Macaca fascicularis: one gene and its partner. The protein of the gene in region 1 interacts with the protein of each later gene in a pairwise test. Links are inferred from orthologs where the notes say so. Each region holds a gene or a part of one and is shown on either strand. Other genes may lie near its edges. The genes, in order: FHL5 and CREM.

Region 1 (3,829 bases):
GGCCATGTTCCATTGCGAACTTTCTAGTCTGCATTTCATCTTTCCTGGGAAAAGACCCACATATTCCAAATCCTCTGCCTTTTCTCTACTTGTTAGTGAAGAACAATATAGCAAAACTGCTATGTACAGAATTAATAATCATGTGCATTTAGCAAGGCTCTCTGCTGGGAACTTCATCACTAGAATAAGGCAAAACGCATGAGAATAACAGTTCAAATGTAGTCAGTACAAACTAGTATCAAAAACGCTGTTGTATCATCATCGTTAATTGCTCCTCTGATTTTGCCAAAATTAAAAAAAAATTCTGTTGGGAGAGAATTAGAAAATATTCAAAGCTCCTAATATATTCCAGTAAATCCTGAGATGACAAATCTCATTTTCCGAGGAAAAGCAGTACTACTTTTTTTTTTTTTTTTTTGTAACAACAAAGAATTCATGTTCAACGCCTAATTAAAACCTTTGGAAATCTATATGCGTTGTTTCTTAATGGCTTTCCAAATTTACAAGACAATCAGAATCCTTATCTACCACTGGCTTTAGGTTTCATATCAGCTTTTTTATTCACCTTACAGAATGATTTTCACCTTGCAGATGAATTCTAGCTATTTTATCCATAGCTATAATGGAATAGCTGCTGCTATTATTCATGCTCTATACATGTTACTTTGGCCCTAAAGCCTGAAGGAACCTATTATTGTTTTCTACCACTGATGATTTTATATGCACTTCTGCATTTGGGCAATTGTTCAACAATAGTCACAAAGACCTAGCACTTGTTCAGAATCCTACCTGCTGAGGAGTTTTATTTGGCCAGCTTGGTAAAAGATATTTAAATGAAGATATCTAAAGCTAGTAGAAAACAGAGATTTTGGAGTCATCAGCACATTTGGGATGGTGGAAGTCACAGCTAAGGAGGGGATGTGGTACAGGAAGACCTTGGGGTAAATGTGCAGAGCCCTTATTCAGTGAAGACTCGAATGACAATGTATTGATTATTAATTTATATTTCAGTAAAAAAGACTGTTTTTCCATCAAAATCTGCCTCTAGAACTTTCCAGCAAGAAGTAAGTGATGAGAGTTATTAAAAGCCCTAGCAACAGTTTATATTTATATCCTTGAGGTAAAACCATCCTGTTTCAACAGATACCATATTCTCATTGAATTCCACATTAGCTTATGATAAACACAAGATGTTTTTCATAATCTAGCTGCAGGTTTTATGCATTTTTTTAGCAAAACACACAAGAACTGCCAAGATGGGAAAGTAACCTTTCCTAAATCACTCCAAATGTCACCATGACTAGAAGCATATTTTCCTAAATTGGTGGATTTTTGCTTAAGAAAATATAAATTCATCCGAATGCTTCACTCACATTATATTAAGGTTTCATCATTTATCCTATAAGCAAAATTCTGCTTTTATATACATGAATCACTTTGTCATTCACAGGATCAAACCAAAATGACAACTGCTCAATTTTACTGTCAATACTGCACAGCATCACTTCTTGGGAAGAAATATGTACTAAAGGATGACAGTCTGTTCTGTGTTACATGTTATGATCGTGTATTTTCTAACTATTGCGAGGAGTGCAAAAAACCAATTGAATCTGATTCTAAGGTAAGTCTCAACACAATTTACAGAATTACTGCATATGAACGCAAACAAGTGGGTTGGAGTGCCTCTTTTCCTTTAGTGTTGACTTTCAACACCATTTCTCTGCTACTGGATATACAAGGATCTTAAAAGTTACCAGCAGTCAAACTCTAGCCACTACACTTAGCACTATGAAATACAACATATGCTTAATCCTCACATGATCTTATAAGGTAGCTGAGAATGCTAAAGATTAATGATGTTAAGCTATTTGTCCAAAGTTACACAGCTAGAATTTTCCTGCTGTTTCCAAGCCCTTGGTAACCCTCTGGGTGTGTTTGTTATTTCTGGAATGACAAGGGTATAAATAAATGCATAAAGAATTGAGGTTGTAAGGATTCAAAATCTCTTTTCTGACGTAAAATCAGCTTTATTTCTACTAAGCCCTACTGATAGCTCTCACTCCTACCACCCATTCCTCCGACATGCTTTTCTTTCTTTCTTTCTTTCTTTCTTTCTTTCTTTCTTTTACTTTCTTTCTTTCTTTCTTTTTCTTTCTTTCTTTCTTCTTTCCTTCCTTCCATCCTCCAAATGTCTTTCTCTCTCTCTCTGTCTTTCTTCCTTTCTTTCTGCGTTTGCATTACTTAGGTGATATTATTTTTTTGTTTGCTTTTTAGATAAGTCTCAAAAAGTAATAGAACATTGTACCCCAAAATTTTAAAAAATCATTCCACGAAAAACCTCTATCATAGTTTATAAAAAGAATATAGGCAAATTTTGAAGACACAGCAGAGAATTCATTTGTTTTTTCCCAGCTGCCTTAAGTGACCCACCAAGAAAGCCCTGGGCTCTAGCTCTTAATTACCCCAGAGAGTCTCCTCTCTATGGGTAACAGTTTCAGTAACAACTTTCCCTCAAGCTACTAGCACAACCTACTGACATGAGAGTCCCAGGAGTGTTCAGTTTTGTCTTATAAAATGTCCTGTTTTGTCACAACCACATTTAATTAACTTTTATTTACTGTCTCAAAGGATCTTTGTTACAAAGACCGGCACTGGCACGAAGGATGCTTCAAGTGCACCAAATGCAATCACTCTTTGGTGGAAAAGCCTTTTGCTGCCAAGGATGAGCGCCTGCTGTGCACGGAGTGCTATTCTAATGAATGCTCCTCCAAGTGCTTCCACTGCAAGAGGACCATCATGCCTGGTAGGATCTCAAGGGGGCTCCTGTCTCTAACTGAAGCTGCCATGCTTTTCATTAAGTCCCAGCACATGAGGAGTGCTGCAGCTCCCAAAACCCTGGTTTTGAGAAAGACACCTTTCTTACTCTCTCAATCTCCTTCCGTGTACCTTAGAAATAAAAAGATTGTTCATTCATTATCCTTGAATAGGTAAATTACAGTGTTCTGTGTATTTTCATAAAGTCTAATTCATTGAAACATTTCAAACCAGAACCTCACCCATAAAATAAAGAAAAATTTATAGCAATAATACTACATTAAACGCAGTGCCCTAGGCATAATGAATGGCATCAGAAAGAGTGATTCATCATAGGCGACTGGGGCCAACTGTCATTTTGTAGCTTGACACAAACTGTTTTGGGGATCAGTCATTGTTATTCTCTCTTAGGGAAGACAGGGTTCATGTATATCATTCCACTTTTGGCAAGGACTAATTCTTTATATTTTGATCTTCTTCTCAATCTCTATGGACAGCAGCATAAGAACATAATTCAATCTTACTGTCTCACTCTTTCTCTCTCATTTTCTTATTATGGATTCAGAGATTTTCTAGAAGGCCATAACTGCACAGCGTAGTCTCAGCAGTTGTGCTCAGGGCATTTTTAATACCCCTGTAATGATTTTGATGGCCCAATTTATCCAAACCATGTAAAACGATTAGGAGTCTTCATTCGAAGTACTTTTACATCTCCAGATTATAGGTTATGAAGGGCTTGAAAGACTTTTCAGTGTAAGAGTGATTCTCCATCACCATGGCTGAACTTTACCAACCTTTTCTTTTTTTTTTTTTTTTTTCTCAGATGAATGGGTTTTTTTGAACCTGAAAAAATGCTATTTTTCTAAAAGGACAATTCATTTATCATCTTAACTTAAAACGTCTTAAAGTAATTTGATCTGTATTATGCTTGACTTATACTAACAGGTCCTTAATTTTGGAGTACAGGTTCCCGCAAAATGGAATTTAAAGGAAACTACTGGCATGAAACCTGTTT
Region 2 (3,829 bases), on another chromosome or scaffold:
TCAGATTAAACCTTGGCTTTTGTAGATATAATTATTATTGTGGTTGTGATCCAGAGATGTATTTTACCCTTAACATTTCTTGAAGGTAAAACATTTTTTTCCATCAATAGATGTAAATTATTAAGTATGCATTTTTTTAAAGTATGCATCTTAATTACTGAATTTATTTTTGTTCCTTTTTAAGGTCAGTTATTATCCTTTAAATGCTGAAATTATCTGAACCTAATTGATGACCAAAAAAAATCTGTGAGGAAAAGGGAGACACATATACATAGTGTAGTCCTTTTCCCGCGTGTTCAAGTAGTTTATCACAGGAGAACGATGAGAGTGGCAACAAGATACCTGACGTGACAAATTCACGTATGTTAAAAGCTTGATTATCTTTGTGGCATGGGTATCTTCTCCTGTATTGCCCAAAAGTGTAAGAATAATTCTCATCATTATCTTTTTTTCCTGTGATGGCCCCTGATTCCAAGAGTTTCTAACTCTTTCTGACACTAATTATAAAACAAGAAAGTCTTTCCTACCTCTTCTTTGTTTTATGCCTTTTATTGGGGTCCACATATTTCTACTGAGTTTTAACCTGGCTGGTATTGGAAGAAAGTATTGTCTATTAATTTTATTATTTAATAGAGACAGAATTCTCAGTATGTTACCCAGGTTGGTGTTGAGCTCCTGGCCTCAAGTGATCCTCTTGCCTCAGTCTCCCAAAGTGCTGGATTACAGGTGTGAGCCAGAGCACCCAGCTGAAAGAAAGTATTCTCTTATATTCAGTAGGCTTTGTTTGGATTTTGTTAAGTGAATGATCTAATTGTCCTTGTAGAAAGAGGTGCCAGTGGATCTTGTCCTAGAATACTTAATCCCTCTGCATGAACTTTAATTTTCACCTTTTCTAAAATAGATAAATTAATAGCCTACCTCACCTAAGGGAGTTGTTATGATTCTATGACAGATGTGTGAGAGCCCGGTGTAAAGTGATAAATACTTAATATTTGGTGGTGATATATGATTATCTGAGGCAACAACATTTTTTTCAGTAAGTTCTGTTGATTGAGTGTGTGTGCTTATGTGTGGGGCATTCATGAGCAAAGATGCAGAGTCATATGTGAAGGTGAATATACACCTCCGTGTACTTTGGGAAGTATATATTCTTGCTTGCATTGTTGATATTTTGATAAGCTCTTTTGATTTTATCCAAATCAGTTTCCTATGTACTTACAATATGAAGTGAGTTTTGTAAACTCTGCTACCCTAGGCCCTCAAAGTATTAATAATTGACTGAATATATCGAAAGCAGTCATGTTGTTGAAGAGATTCATTGTTTTAGTTTTCTGACTTCTTTAATAATCATATCACTGTATTATTACTTGACTTGAAAAATGAAATCATGCTTAAAACTCTGATCTTTCTCTTAAGGAGAAATTCTTTATTTGGATCTTCAAGACCTACCACCACCAAACCCTAACTTACTCCTTGTAATAGAAATCCTAATTTTACCCAGGCTTGCTTACTGACTTGCTTATCTACTTAAATATTCTGTCTTGGGCCTATCTGATAGCTAATGTGAAGACCCAGCTCACGCCAGTGCCAGCTGTGTGAGAGTGGAGACAGCAGTGTGATCCAGGAGCTCTCTTCTGCCTTGGCCCCTTGCTGGCTCCCTCCTGAATCCGTAGGAGCACTTTCAGGTTGAGAGCTTAGGTCTTGGGTATTTTACATTTTGTTCTTTGCTGCAATGCCTCATTTGACATCCCAACCACTCTTTCCCTTGTATTTCTGTAGTATATAGTACCCGTATCATTACTTTCCACACACGTTTGTTTTATAACTGAAATGTTTGTGTCTGCACTTCCTTTCTTGAGCCAGACTCCTTTAGTGCAGATTCACCGTGTTGTATTGCTTGGTTGCTTCCACAGTGCCTGGCTCAGTGCTGCACACGCAGACTCTTAGCCTCAATTTTTTGAATGAGGGAAAAGAACATATATTTTATGATACATTTCAGAAAATCTTGTATTATAGGTAGCAACAATTGCAGAGACAGATGAATCTGCAGAATCAGAAGGTGTAATTGATTCTCATAAACGTAGAGAAATCCTTTCACGAAGACCCTCTTATAGGTAAGTTAACCAAGTTTCCTACTGTAAAGATACTTTTTCCAAAATGGTAGAATAATTATTCATCAAATCAATTCTTCCTTTATAGCTTTTCTGTTTTAAGAGTCAATTCATGTATCTTAGTGACTTACATTGTTAAATTATATTTTAGGAAAATACTGAATGAACTGTCCTCTGATGTGCCTGGTGTTCCCAAGATTGAAGAAGAAAAATCAGAGGAAGAAGGAACACCGCCTAACATTGCTACCATGGCAGTACCAACTAGCATATATCAGACTAGCACGGGGCAATACAGTATGTATGCTGCAATTCGATATGATACAGTGCTAGCTTTAAGTCTTCTCTAGTTATATTGAAGCAACTCAGGTTTTGGCATTAAATTGTTCCATTTTTAAGTGCATCAATACCTAAACTGTATCATTGAATGAAAGTATATGTTAAAAAGTGAGATATTTGTATTGACAACTATCATATAATTTTGAAAAGTAAAAATTTTAACTGCTGAATATAGAAGAAAAATTTGGAGTAAAAATAAAGGGAGGATTTTTTCCTACTTACATGTTTATATTAATCTCTAGTAAAACATTGTTTTTGTTGTCTTTATGATGCATGCAAACATAAATGTCTGTATTTCATTCTTGTTGGCTTCTGTTACCCACAATTACATACTATACTTACTAATCTAAGAGTTTTCTAAAGTATGTTTTCAATGTTTCACTACTCTCTGTTAATTGGTGCTACAGTTTTTCCTAAAAGAGAATGGAAAAATGATTTAAGTTTTTAAACTGTAGCAATTGGATAGATAATTTTATTTGAAATTTTACACACCAAAAGTTCTAAATAAACAGATACATTCACATTCAGTCTTGTGCATTTTAATGGACTGTTAATTCTGTGCTTTTAGCTCTGATTAAAGCACTAGTTTTTTCCCAAATGAAAAATGTTTGATACATAAAAATAGTAAAAACCAAGAGCTAGAAAGAAAGGAAAAAGGAAGAGAAAGGATAGGGATATCACATATCCTAAGCTAGCCACTTAGGTACTGGAATAATGTGATATTCCTGTCCTTTCTGAAGTATAAATTGTCCATGGAAATTGTCCAAATCAGTTTCCCATGTAATTATAATATGAAGTAAAGTGAGTTTTGTAAACTCTGCTACCTTAGGCCTTCAAAGTAATTCACTGAATATATTGACAGCAGTCATATTGTTGAAGAGATTCATGATTTTAGTTTTCTGACTTTAAAAAGAGCTACTTAGGTACTGGAATATATGTGATATTAAATAATGTGTTTATCCAATTAAGGTATGGAGATTTTAGATATATTCTTTGTTTTTCCTTTAAAAAGTAGCAATACCAAGGAAAAAAAATCTCAAGTCTTAATTTAAGTCCTGGCTACTAAAACAAGCTATAATTTTTAATATATGAGAAGACTTTATGTAGTCATTTTTTTTTTGGAGCTTTTTAGAGTTTTTCTTATAGCATTGGTAGATTTGCAGTTGTAAACTATTAAATACATTCTCTGTTGGTAATTGAGGGGAACTCCTACCATGATACCTAGTAGATCCGGGGTGTAGTATATTCACACCTTCTACAGGGCACCCAGTAGACTTGTCCAAAGTCAGTGTTAGGAAAAGAAAACTCCCCATCATCTGTAAGAAATAGACCTTGAGGTTTACATTGTCACTTTTTTATTACTTCTTTCGTTTACATGCTCT

What was found.
Region 2: the proteins of FHL5 (region 1) and CREM interact in a two-hybrid assay, tested with the Homo sapiens proteins (2 studies listed by BioGRID). The link is inferred for Macaca fascicularis from reciprocal best matches to the Homo sapiens genes FHL5 and CREM.

Annotation. Positions count from the first base shown.
Region 1 is NC_088378.1:78,729,710-78,733,538, reverse strand, and holds part of FHL5 (four and a half LIM domains protein 5), read left to right. Parts: intron 1-1,450; 5' UTR 1,451-1,462; coding exon 1,463-1,621; intron 1,622-2,628; coding exon 2,629-2,803; intron 2,804-3,780; coding exon 3,781-3,829. UniProt on the Homo sapiens protein: May be involved in the regulation of spermatogenesis. Stimulates CREM transcriptional activity in a phosphorylation-independent manner.
Region 2 is NC_088383.1:35,955,357-35,959,185, forward strand, and holds part of CREM (cAMP-responsive element modulator), read left to right. Parts: intron 1-2,016; coding exon 2,017-2,114; intron 2,115-2,262; coding exon 2,263-2,405; intron 2,406-3,829.